2 linked regions of the Canis lupus familiaris genome follow. The main gene of each other region encodes a partner of the protein of the gene in region 2 in a complex. Links are inferred from orthologs where the notes say so. Each region holds a gene or a part of one and is shown on either strand. Other genes may lie near its edges.

Region 1 (3,820 bases), on a different chromosome or scaffold from region 2:
TAATAATAGCACAGTCCTAATACTATTGGCAACATGTACATTGCGTAGTTTTTCTTGCCATTTGGGAGACTAGTGCTTACTTCTATTGAATTTTTTTAATGAGTATATACTAGTCTAATAAGAAAAATACAAACAGAAATTAGCTATGTAACGTGGGGATAATACACCTTCACAGGATCATAAGAGCTAACTAAGACATTCTAAGGGGGAACAACCTGGTACAGTACCTGGCTTAGAATAGATTCAAGAAATGTTTACTTCTAAAACTCCACAAATTAGAAGGTTAATAGCATCATAAATATGTAATAAGGTAGAAAGCAACCAGGCCAGGACAACATAATAATACATCAGTAGCAGAGTATGGGACAGAATCTGAATAGCTTCCACTGAGAAACAGAATAGTTTCTACTGAGGTACTTGCTTTAACACCTCAACAATTATGTAGTGCTTAGCAATTTGCAAATAGACGTCACACCTATTGTTTATTTAATCTGTGCCACAACTCTGAGATACATGGAGCAAATGTTATTTTCCCCAACATATATATATATGGAAATAGAGGCTCTAATATTTTATCATGGTCTTAGAAAGCCACAGAATAGAGATTCTTACTCTTAATACGATGCTCTTTTCACCTAGAGAAGTAATGAATTTAGTGGAAAGACTATGAGTTTTGAAATTAGGCAGACCAAGACATGAATCCTGAATTTAACAATTACTTGTGTGGTGCCAAACAAATTATATAATCTGTCTAAATCCCACTTTCTTCATCTATAAATGGAGATATCCCCATGTCCCTCATGAAGTTGTTGTTAAGGGCAATGAGAACATTTGTAAAGCATGTCATGCATACTGCAGCATAAAACAGCCATTCAATTAACTCTTGCTATTATTATCTATAAAATGCTACCCCAATAGAGAAAATTGGTAATAGTGTAACTGTAAAAGCATGTTAGGTAAATCAGACAAGAACTGCATGGAGTCTTTCCCAACAGACCTGACAAAAGGGTGAATTTTTTCACTTAGGTGGACTTTCTTTTTAACGTCCTGACCACCCTGAAAAATAAACCATCAAAAAAGAACTTCATATATATGACACAAATGAAATACTAAAAAAATTTCTTTAATGTGTTCTACAGATATGATTAAATTGTCAAAATACAAAAATTTACATGCTATTTTATATAGTTTCAATACCTGTAACTTTCTGGGTTAACTTCACTTGATATAATTGAACTAGAAAAGCAATTTTTTCCTTTTGTTACAAAGGAGGATATTTACAGTAAAATATGAAAGATCTTAGAAAATGTAGCTACTATGATTATTTGATCTGCTGGTAAGATCATCTACTCTGGAATATGCATATAAAAGATAGTTTCATTTTTTTCACTAAACATTTCAGGCTTGGAAATATCTGGCAAACAAAAAAATGTAAAATATCATTGAGATCTTACCTTTACAAGACTCAAATACTCAACTATCCCAGAACGTACTGCAGAGGACAATTTTCTAACTGATTCATCACAGACCCAACAATGAACACCTCTCCTTCCAGAATATACCCAGAGACGATGCTTAAATCCAAAGTCCTCTGAGGAGGGGAGAAATACGTTTTAAAATCTATAAATAAACTGGTTCTTGCTTACTTCCTTGGTTTCATTTTTACCTCTTATTCACATGTACTCACCTTAACTATACTAAATTACATGTAGTTTCCTGTGTCTATGGTCTTGCCTTCATGTCTATACGTATCGTGGTCTCCTCTCTCTGCCAAGAATTTCTTCACACTCCAGCATTTCCATTTTTCTCCTTGACCAATTGCCATTTATCATTTAAGACCATGTCTAGGGGGACGCCTGGTTGGCTTAGTGTGTTAAGTGATTGCATTCGGCTCAGGTCATGATCCTAGGGTCCTAGGATTGAGCCCAGCATCAGGCTCCCTGCTCAGCAGGGAGTCTACTTTTTCTTCTCCCTCTGCCCCGACCCCCACTTGTGTTCTCTCTCAAATAAATAAAATCTTAAAACAAAACAAAACAAAAAAACCCTGTCTAGGGACATTAAAAAAGTTAATAAATTTAAAGTGTTTAGAACAGTGCCTGTACACGATACACAGCCTATATAGAGTTAGCTTATTTATTTATTTATTTTTTCGGAGAGAGAGAGAGCATGTGTGTACAGGGGCAGGGAGGGGCAGAGGGACAGAGAATCCTAAGCCGGCTCCACACCCAGCACGAAGCCCAACGTGGGGCTAGATCCCAGGACCCTGAGATCATGACCTGGGCTGAAATCAAGAGTTAGAGGTTTAACCAACTGAGCTACCCAGGTGTGCTGAGAGTTAGCTATTTTTAACATTATTATCATCACCTTTTCATTTTTTTCTTTTTTAAAGATTTTATTTATTTATTCATGAGACACACACAGAGAGAGAGAGAGAGAGAGGCAGAGACATAGGCAGATGGAGAGGCAGGCTCCCTGTAGAGAGCTGATGCGGGACTAGATCCCAGGACCCTGGGATCATGACCTGAGCCAAAAGTAGATGCTCAATCACTGAGCTATTCAGTTGCCCCTGTCATTACCTTTTCTGATGCAGTCTCTTTCCATTCCTGTATGTACTCCTGCTGTTCTATATCTCCAGGGCACCCTGTGTGTATTACTTAACATAAATGTAATCCTCAATTTTGTCTCCTTCCTAGACTGTATAACCTACTTGAGGTAATCATCATCTTTCATATTTCCCTCATCTAGGACAGTTTGTAGCACATACAGCTGCTCGACAGATGACTGAATTGGGAAAAAACTCACTGGTTTGATCAATAGCTTTATTAGAGTTTCAACTACAACTTTATTCTAAAAATCTCTTATTTTCCGGCCATATGTTTCAAGGAAACATGTTAGAAATCTATGAGATTTGATTATAAAATGGTATAGACAGATAAATATTCACAGGAAAACAGATTATTGCATTTGACCCCACTGCCAATACTTGCCCTTCAGTGCTCGGTCGATTATGCGTATGGCCATCGTCATGAGGGTCCAGCACTTAGAACATATGTCTGCAGAACTGGAGCAGAGGAATCATTACTCATTGTCAGTGATATCACCCACCCTACCAGCAAGGCATGCGGCACTTACCTACAACATCTCCTCACATCGTCATAGTCTGTCATGTCAATGTCAAACACCAGTTCTTTTTCCTGAGCCTGGAAAGCTCCCAGCTTTACTGTATTGTGTTGATTGGGCTACAAGTAGAAAATATCAATCATTTTCTATAAGAGCTGTCATGCTGCCAATTATGCTATTTTCTAACCACACACAAAAAAAAGTGGCCGAAGAGCAATGAAGAAACCATACTATAATGCCAACTCTCTATCAGTTAAAATTCATTAATTCGGATTCTATGCATCCAGAATTGATGAGTGTAAATTTCATCTACCTAAAACAGGTTTTGATAAATATATATTACCATAGATATTTTTTCTAGTTCTACTGATATAATTGACATGTAACCTTGAATAATAAATATTTATTAATCAGTAAGAGATCATAATAAAGCTTTTTTAGGTTTCTGATTAGGAAAAGCACATACAAATAATGCCCTATTGCAAGCTGTCTTAAAGACCTTTAATTATTATTGGACATATAAGTAATAAAAATGTATTTAAAATATTTCAATAATTCAAAAGATCTCAATTAGTTTGAACTGAGCCTTTGGCTCAAGCTGTAAGTAGCCTCCTGGCTACTCTATACCTGGCTATGGGCCACCAGGTATAGAAAGTAGGCTACAGATACCTATCTTGGTCTTTCCAAACCTGCACAAAAA
Region 2 (4,260 bases):
GAAAGTGTCCTACGGGTCCTGGCTCCTGGAAGTATGTGGGTCATGAAAGAGAAACAAGATCTGAAATACTTAGAGTTCTAAGGTGGCATGTGGAAAATTATCAGACATGTGAAGTTGTAAAGGAAAGATTTGGTTCATAAATATGTGCCTACCCAAAACAGTTCTCTCCTGTTAGGAATAAACTTGATAATATCAAAGTTGCAACAATTTCTTTAAAGAGAAAGTATAGGCATAGACGTGTGCTTTAAACAGTGAGTGGATCTAAGTGCGAGTCACTATGTATTTGTCATGTATCACAACATATGGATCATATCTTAACATGATATTGTGTTATAGAGCTGAAAGAAAAATTTCTAAACAATCAGAAATTAAGAAACAAACATCGATCAACCACGCTGGAAGGCAGACTGAATTTTTTATACCCTTTTTAGAGAAAATGATATTATAAAATTGTCACATGAGGAAGAGATCAACAAGTATGTTGGCAAAAATGTAGGAAAAGATATTACAGGTGTGTGGAAGGCACATGTATAAAAATGTTATACCTAAAAAAGAAAATGGGACACATACATTATGTGCATTGTACCGTATACAAGAACCTAATGCCTTTTTTGTCTTTCATCACACTGACATTTTGCAAGAACCCCAGATATTTTGTAGACCGTCCTATGCTTTGAATACATCTGATTGTTTCTTCATGGTTAGATTCAGGTTAAGCATTTTTTGTAAGAAGGTTATATGGGTGATGTCGTTCCCTTTTCCAAGTGCATCACGTCAGGAGGCATATGATTGCCCCATGTGCTTTTTTTGGTCATTTGGGTATGACAGTGCTTTATATATATACATATATATATTTATAGTACACATATCCATAAATCACACAGCGACTGTGTTCACACGCTAAGAAGCAAAGTTATCAGGCAAGACTCAGAGCGCGCAGCAGGAGGCAGTCGCTTTCCCAAGGCTCTGGGGAAACGGTCCAACCACGCCCATCCTACTACCCGCCCGCGTCTTTTTTCTCAGAGAATGAACTCTCAGAACCAGAAAGCCCCTATCCCAACGTGCCCAAGTCTTTTCCCATCAGCGTGGGTGCGCCTGCGCAGCGAGCTTCCCCGCGGCTCCTTTCCAGCGCCCGGCCGCTTCTTTTTGCTGCTCTCCTCGGCCTCCCCTCCACTCGAGCTTTTCCCTAAGGGGTCATAACAGGGCGCCAAACCGGCGTCCGCGGGAAGGCCGGGGGCGGGGCGCGGCGCGGCGCGGCACGTCAGTGGCCTTCCGGGCGGAAGTCCGCAGCCTCTGGAGCCTCTGATTGGCTTTCAGCCTGGCGCCTGTCTCGGCCCCCGCGCCAGTTTCGGGCTGCTTGGCGCGGAATCGGGAGCCTGCAGGACCATGGCGCTGGTACACGGCGAAGACTGCGACCTGGGGTCGAGCGGTGAGGGATGAGCCCGCGTGCGGGGTTCGGGGTTGGGAATACAGGGGCCGTGGCGTGATTGCGGGTGGTGAGGGCTCTGGAGAGGTCTTTTTAATTTGGGGTGGGGGGCGCTCGTCTGGTTCGCCTGACGGGTCCTTTTGGGCGCGGACCTTGGTAGTCCCGGGCTGGGACTCACTTGTGTCGGGTGGGGCTTCCTCGCAGGGCCGTTTGCTCCTGGCAAACCAGAGCGCATCCCTTGCAGGGCCTGTGTCAGAGTTGCTCTCCGCACGAGTCCGCATTTTCTTTTTATTTCTTTTGGCCAGTGCGTTCCACGTGCTGGGCACACCTGCATCAGACTGACCCCGATGGGGCACAGTCTTGGTTCAAAGTATCTAACAACTCTTAGTTCAAAGTATCTACCTGAGGGCTACAACGAACGAATGTGAGCTCTTTCTATGAAAACTCTCAGGGAAATGTTTATACACTTTAACTCAGCAGGAGAGAAAGTCTAAGGGCTGTCACCAGAAAATACAAATGTGCCTTGTCTTAGGTAATGGGTTTTTACTTCATGCATTAACAATTTTTTTCTCTCAAATTCTATGGAAAGTTCTTCCGAGTGCTGCATAGAAGTAGTGTTCACAATCTAGTCATCTTTGGTGAAGTTACCCCCCCCCCCCCGAAAAAAATCGAATCAGCTCAGCAGCATTTGGAATGCCCTGTATATGACTCCGTTTTCAGTAGTAATCTTTTATTTCCAAAAATAGAATACAAAAATGTAAATGGCTTTGATTTCTGATTTTTGGACTATGTTCAAGTAAAGTGTGACTTAACTTCAGTGAATGTCTGGTTTAAATTCAGATGCTTCACTTTCTTAGTTCAGGGTACATCTCCTGTCACCCAGATACATCTCCATTAATGAGAACTTGCCTTCTAATCAGTTTCCTTTGCATTCACCTAGTTGTGAATCACAGATACCAATTTGCTCCAGCCTTTCGTTTTTAAGACAATTTGTTTTGGAGAGTCGTCAACCCTGGATTACAAATGGGATGTAGGTTGTGAGTATATGAACAGTCTCTGCAGCTCTCCATCAGTGATTTGCCACTAGGGTTTCTTTCTTCACCATAAAAACTGTACGTCATCTGTGAACATCAAGAAATCACTCTTTGGAAGATGCTGTGTAATCTTGAGTCCCCTCTTAAGTCATGGTGTTGATTAAGTAGTTGCTAGAGACTTGTGACTGGAATTTTTCCCTTAGAGCAGAAAGATTGTTACCTGAAAGACTTGCATGCTAGTGTCTGCTTTGGGGGAGAATGGGGGTACTTCAGATGGTAATTTTGAACTGAATATTTAAAGTTTTGTAATGGATTTTTTCATGCCTTTTTGTTGTTGTTAACTTATCTACACGAAGCATTGGACACATTCCAAGAAGGAAATTCTAGGTCTTTTTTCCTCTTAAGTATTAGAAGGTGGGGTACCTTGACAATGGCAGTGAAAAGTTGAAAGGTCTGTAACTACCTATTATTACATATAAAAAGGGATCAGGGAGAGTTTAATGATTTTTAAAAAGCAAGTATAGTGGTTTATTCATTTGTTCATTCAGCAAATATTTACTATGTACCTGCTAGGTATAGGCATTAAATGGTAGGTAAGCTGGACATAGTCTTGTCTTCCTGGAGTTGAGATGGTAAAGAGCTAATTGCATGTGGTGCTATATTGAGGCTTCTCTGAGAAAACCACTTACCTTTATTTTTGCTTTCTAAAGCTAGACCATGGTACTTCTGGGTGTGTTGTGTGCGCGCTAAGTGTGTGTGTGTGTGTCTGCCCTACGTCTGTACACACATACACAAACATGAAATGAGATCCTATATTGCTGATACAAAATAAGCCAAGGTCCTTCATTTAATCCTTAACAACTTTATGAAGCAGACACAATTATCCCCATTTCACAGATGAGAATCCTGAGGCTCTGCATTACAGTGAGTCCTTTGGTCTAACCCACAAGAGCCAACTCTAGCTGATGTAAATAGAAAAAGAGGAATTTAAGTATTTTAGGGATTAGAAGGATACTGTGGTGGTCACAGAAACTCCAGGTGGACTTGAGAATCACTTTGGGGGGCTGCTTAGCCAGGAATGGTAATTAAAGTTGTGCCACAGGGGATCCCTGGGTGGCGCAGCGGTTTGGCACCTGCCTTTGGCCCAGGGCGCGATCCTGGAGACCCGGGACCGAATCCCACGTCAGGCTCCCGGTGCATGGATCCTGCTTCTTCCTCTGCCTGTGTCTCTGCCTCTCTCTCTCTCTCTCTCTCTCGGACTATCATAAATAAATAAAAATAAAAAAAATAAAAAATAAAGTTGTGCCACAGAACTGGTCTAGTGAGGAGGTCATTGTCAGCCATGGCCAAGTACTTGATGTTATAGTTTGTATCTTGGGACATTGCTGGCTGAGTGACCCCAAGTAATCCTCTTGCAGCTGTTGCTATTTCTAGAATCTTCCATTAGCCCATCCACTTTCCTTCTGACACTAGCTTCTGATTTAAAGTCTGAGCAGGTATTCCTACTTGATAGAGCCTGTTTTATATGTTCATGCCCTCGCTACAAGCGTATGTGGGAAAGAGCATCTGCTTTTTCAACTTCTCTAGTGGGACTTGGGCTCTGCATCCCATCAAGGTTTATAAGGAGGGGATTTCACAGACAAGTTCAGGTGCCAGGCAGCTTAAAAAACAACTTGAAGGCACCTGGTCACTACAGCTCAGAGATGTTAACTGGTGGTCTCATGTCACCCAATAAGTGGTGGAGCCGGATTGTGCTGCTTCTCCCTAATCTCCTATTCTCCCACTCTACACTCATGTAAG

Evidence for each region.
Region 1: the proteins of POLA1 (region 2) and PRIM1 are in contact, whole or in part, in a cryo-EM structure (PDB 7OPL), measured with the Homo sapiens proteins. The link is inferred for Canis lupus familiaris from reciprocal best matches to the Homo sapiens genes POLA1 and PRIM1. Residues at the interface, in NP_058633.2 of Homo sapiens: Tyr439, Ala440, Pro447, Glu448, Lys449, Ser450, Phe876, Thr877, Thr878, Gln880, Leu906; in NP_000937.1 of Homo sapiens: Asn92, Thr93, Val94, Lys95, Leu96, Gly97, Ala98.

What each region holds. Positions count from the first base shown.
Region 1 is NC_049231.1:1,320,648-1,324,467, forward strand, and holds part of PRIM1 (DNA primase small subunit), read right to left. Parts: intron 3,240-3,820; coding exon 3,133-3,239; intron 3,062-3,132; coding exon 2,988-3,061; intron 1,592-2,987; coding exon 1,455-1,591; intron 1,057-1,454; coding exon 998-1,056; intron 1-997. UniProt on the Homo sapiens protein: Catalytic subunit of the DNA primase complex and component of the DNA polymerase alpha complex (also known as the alpha DNA polymerase-primase complex - primosome/replisome) which play an essential role in the initiation of DNA synthesis.
Region 2 is NC_049260.1:20,309,988-20,314,247, forward strand, and holds the start of POLA1 (DNA polymerase alpha catalytic subunit), read left to right. Parts: upstream 1-1,270; 5' UTR 1,271-1,386; coding exon 1,387-1,429; intron 1,430-4,260. UniProt on the Homo sapiens protein: Catalytic subunit of the DNA polymerase alpha complex (also known as the alpha DNA polymerase-primase complex) which plays an essential role in the initiation of DNA synthesis.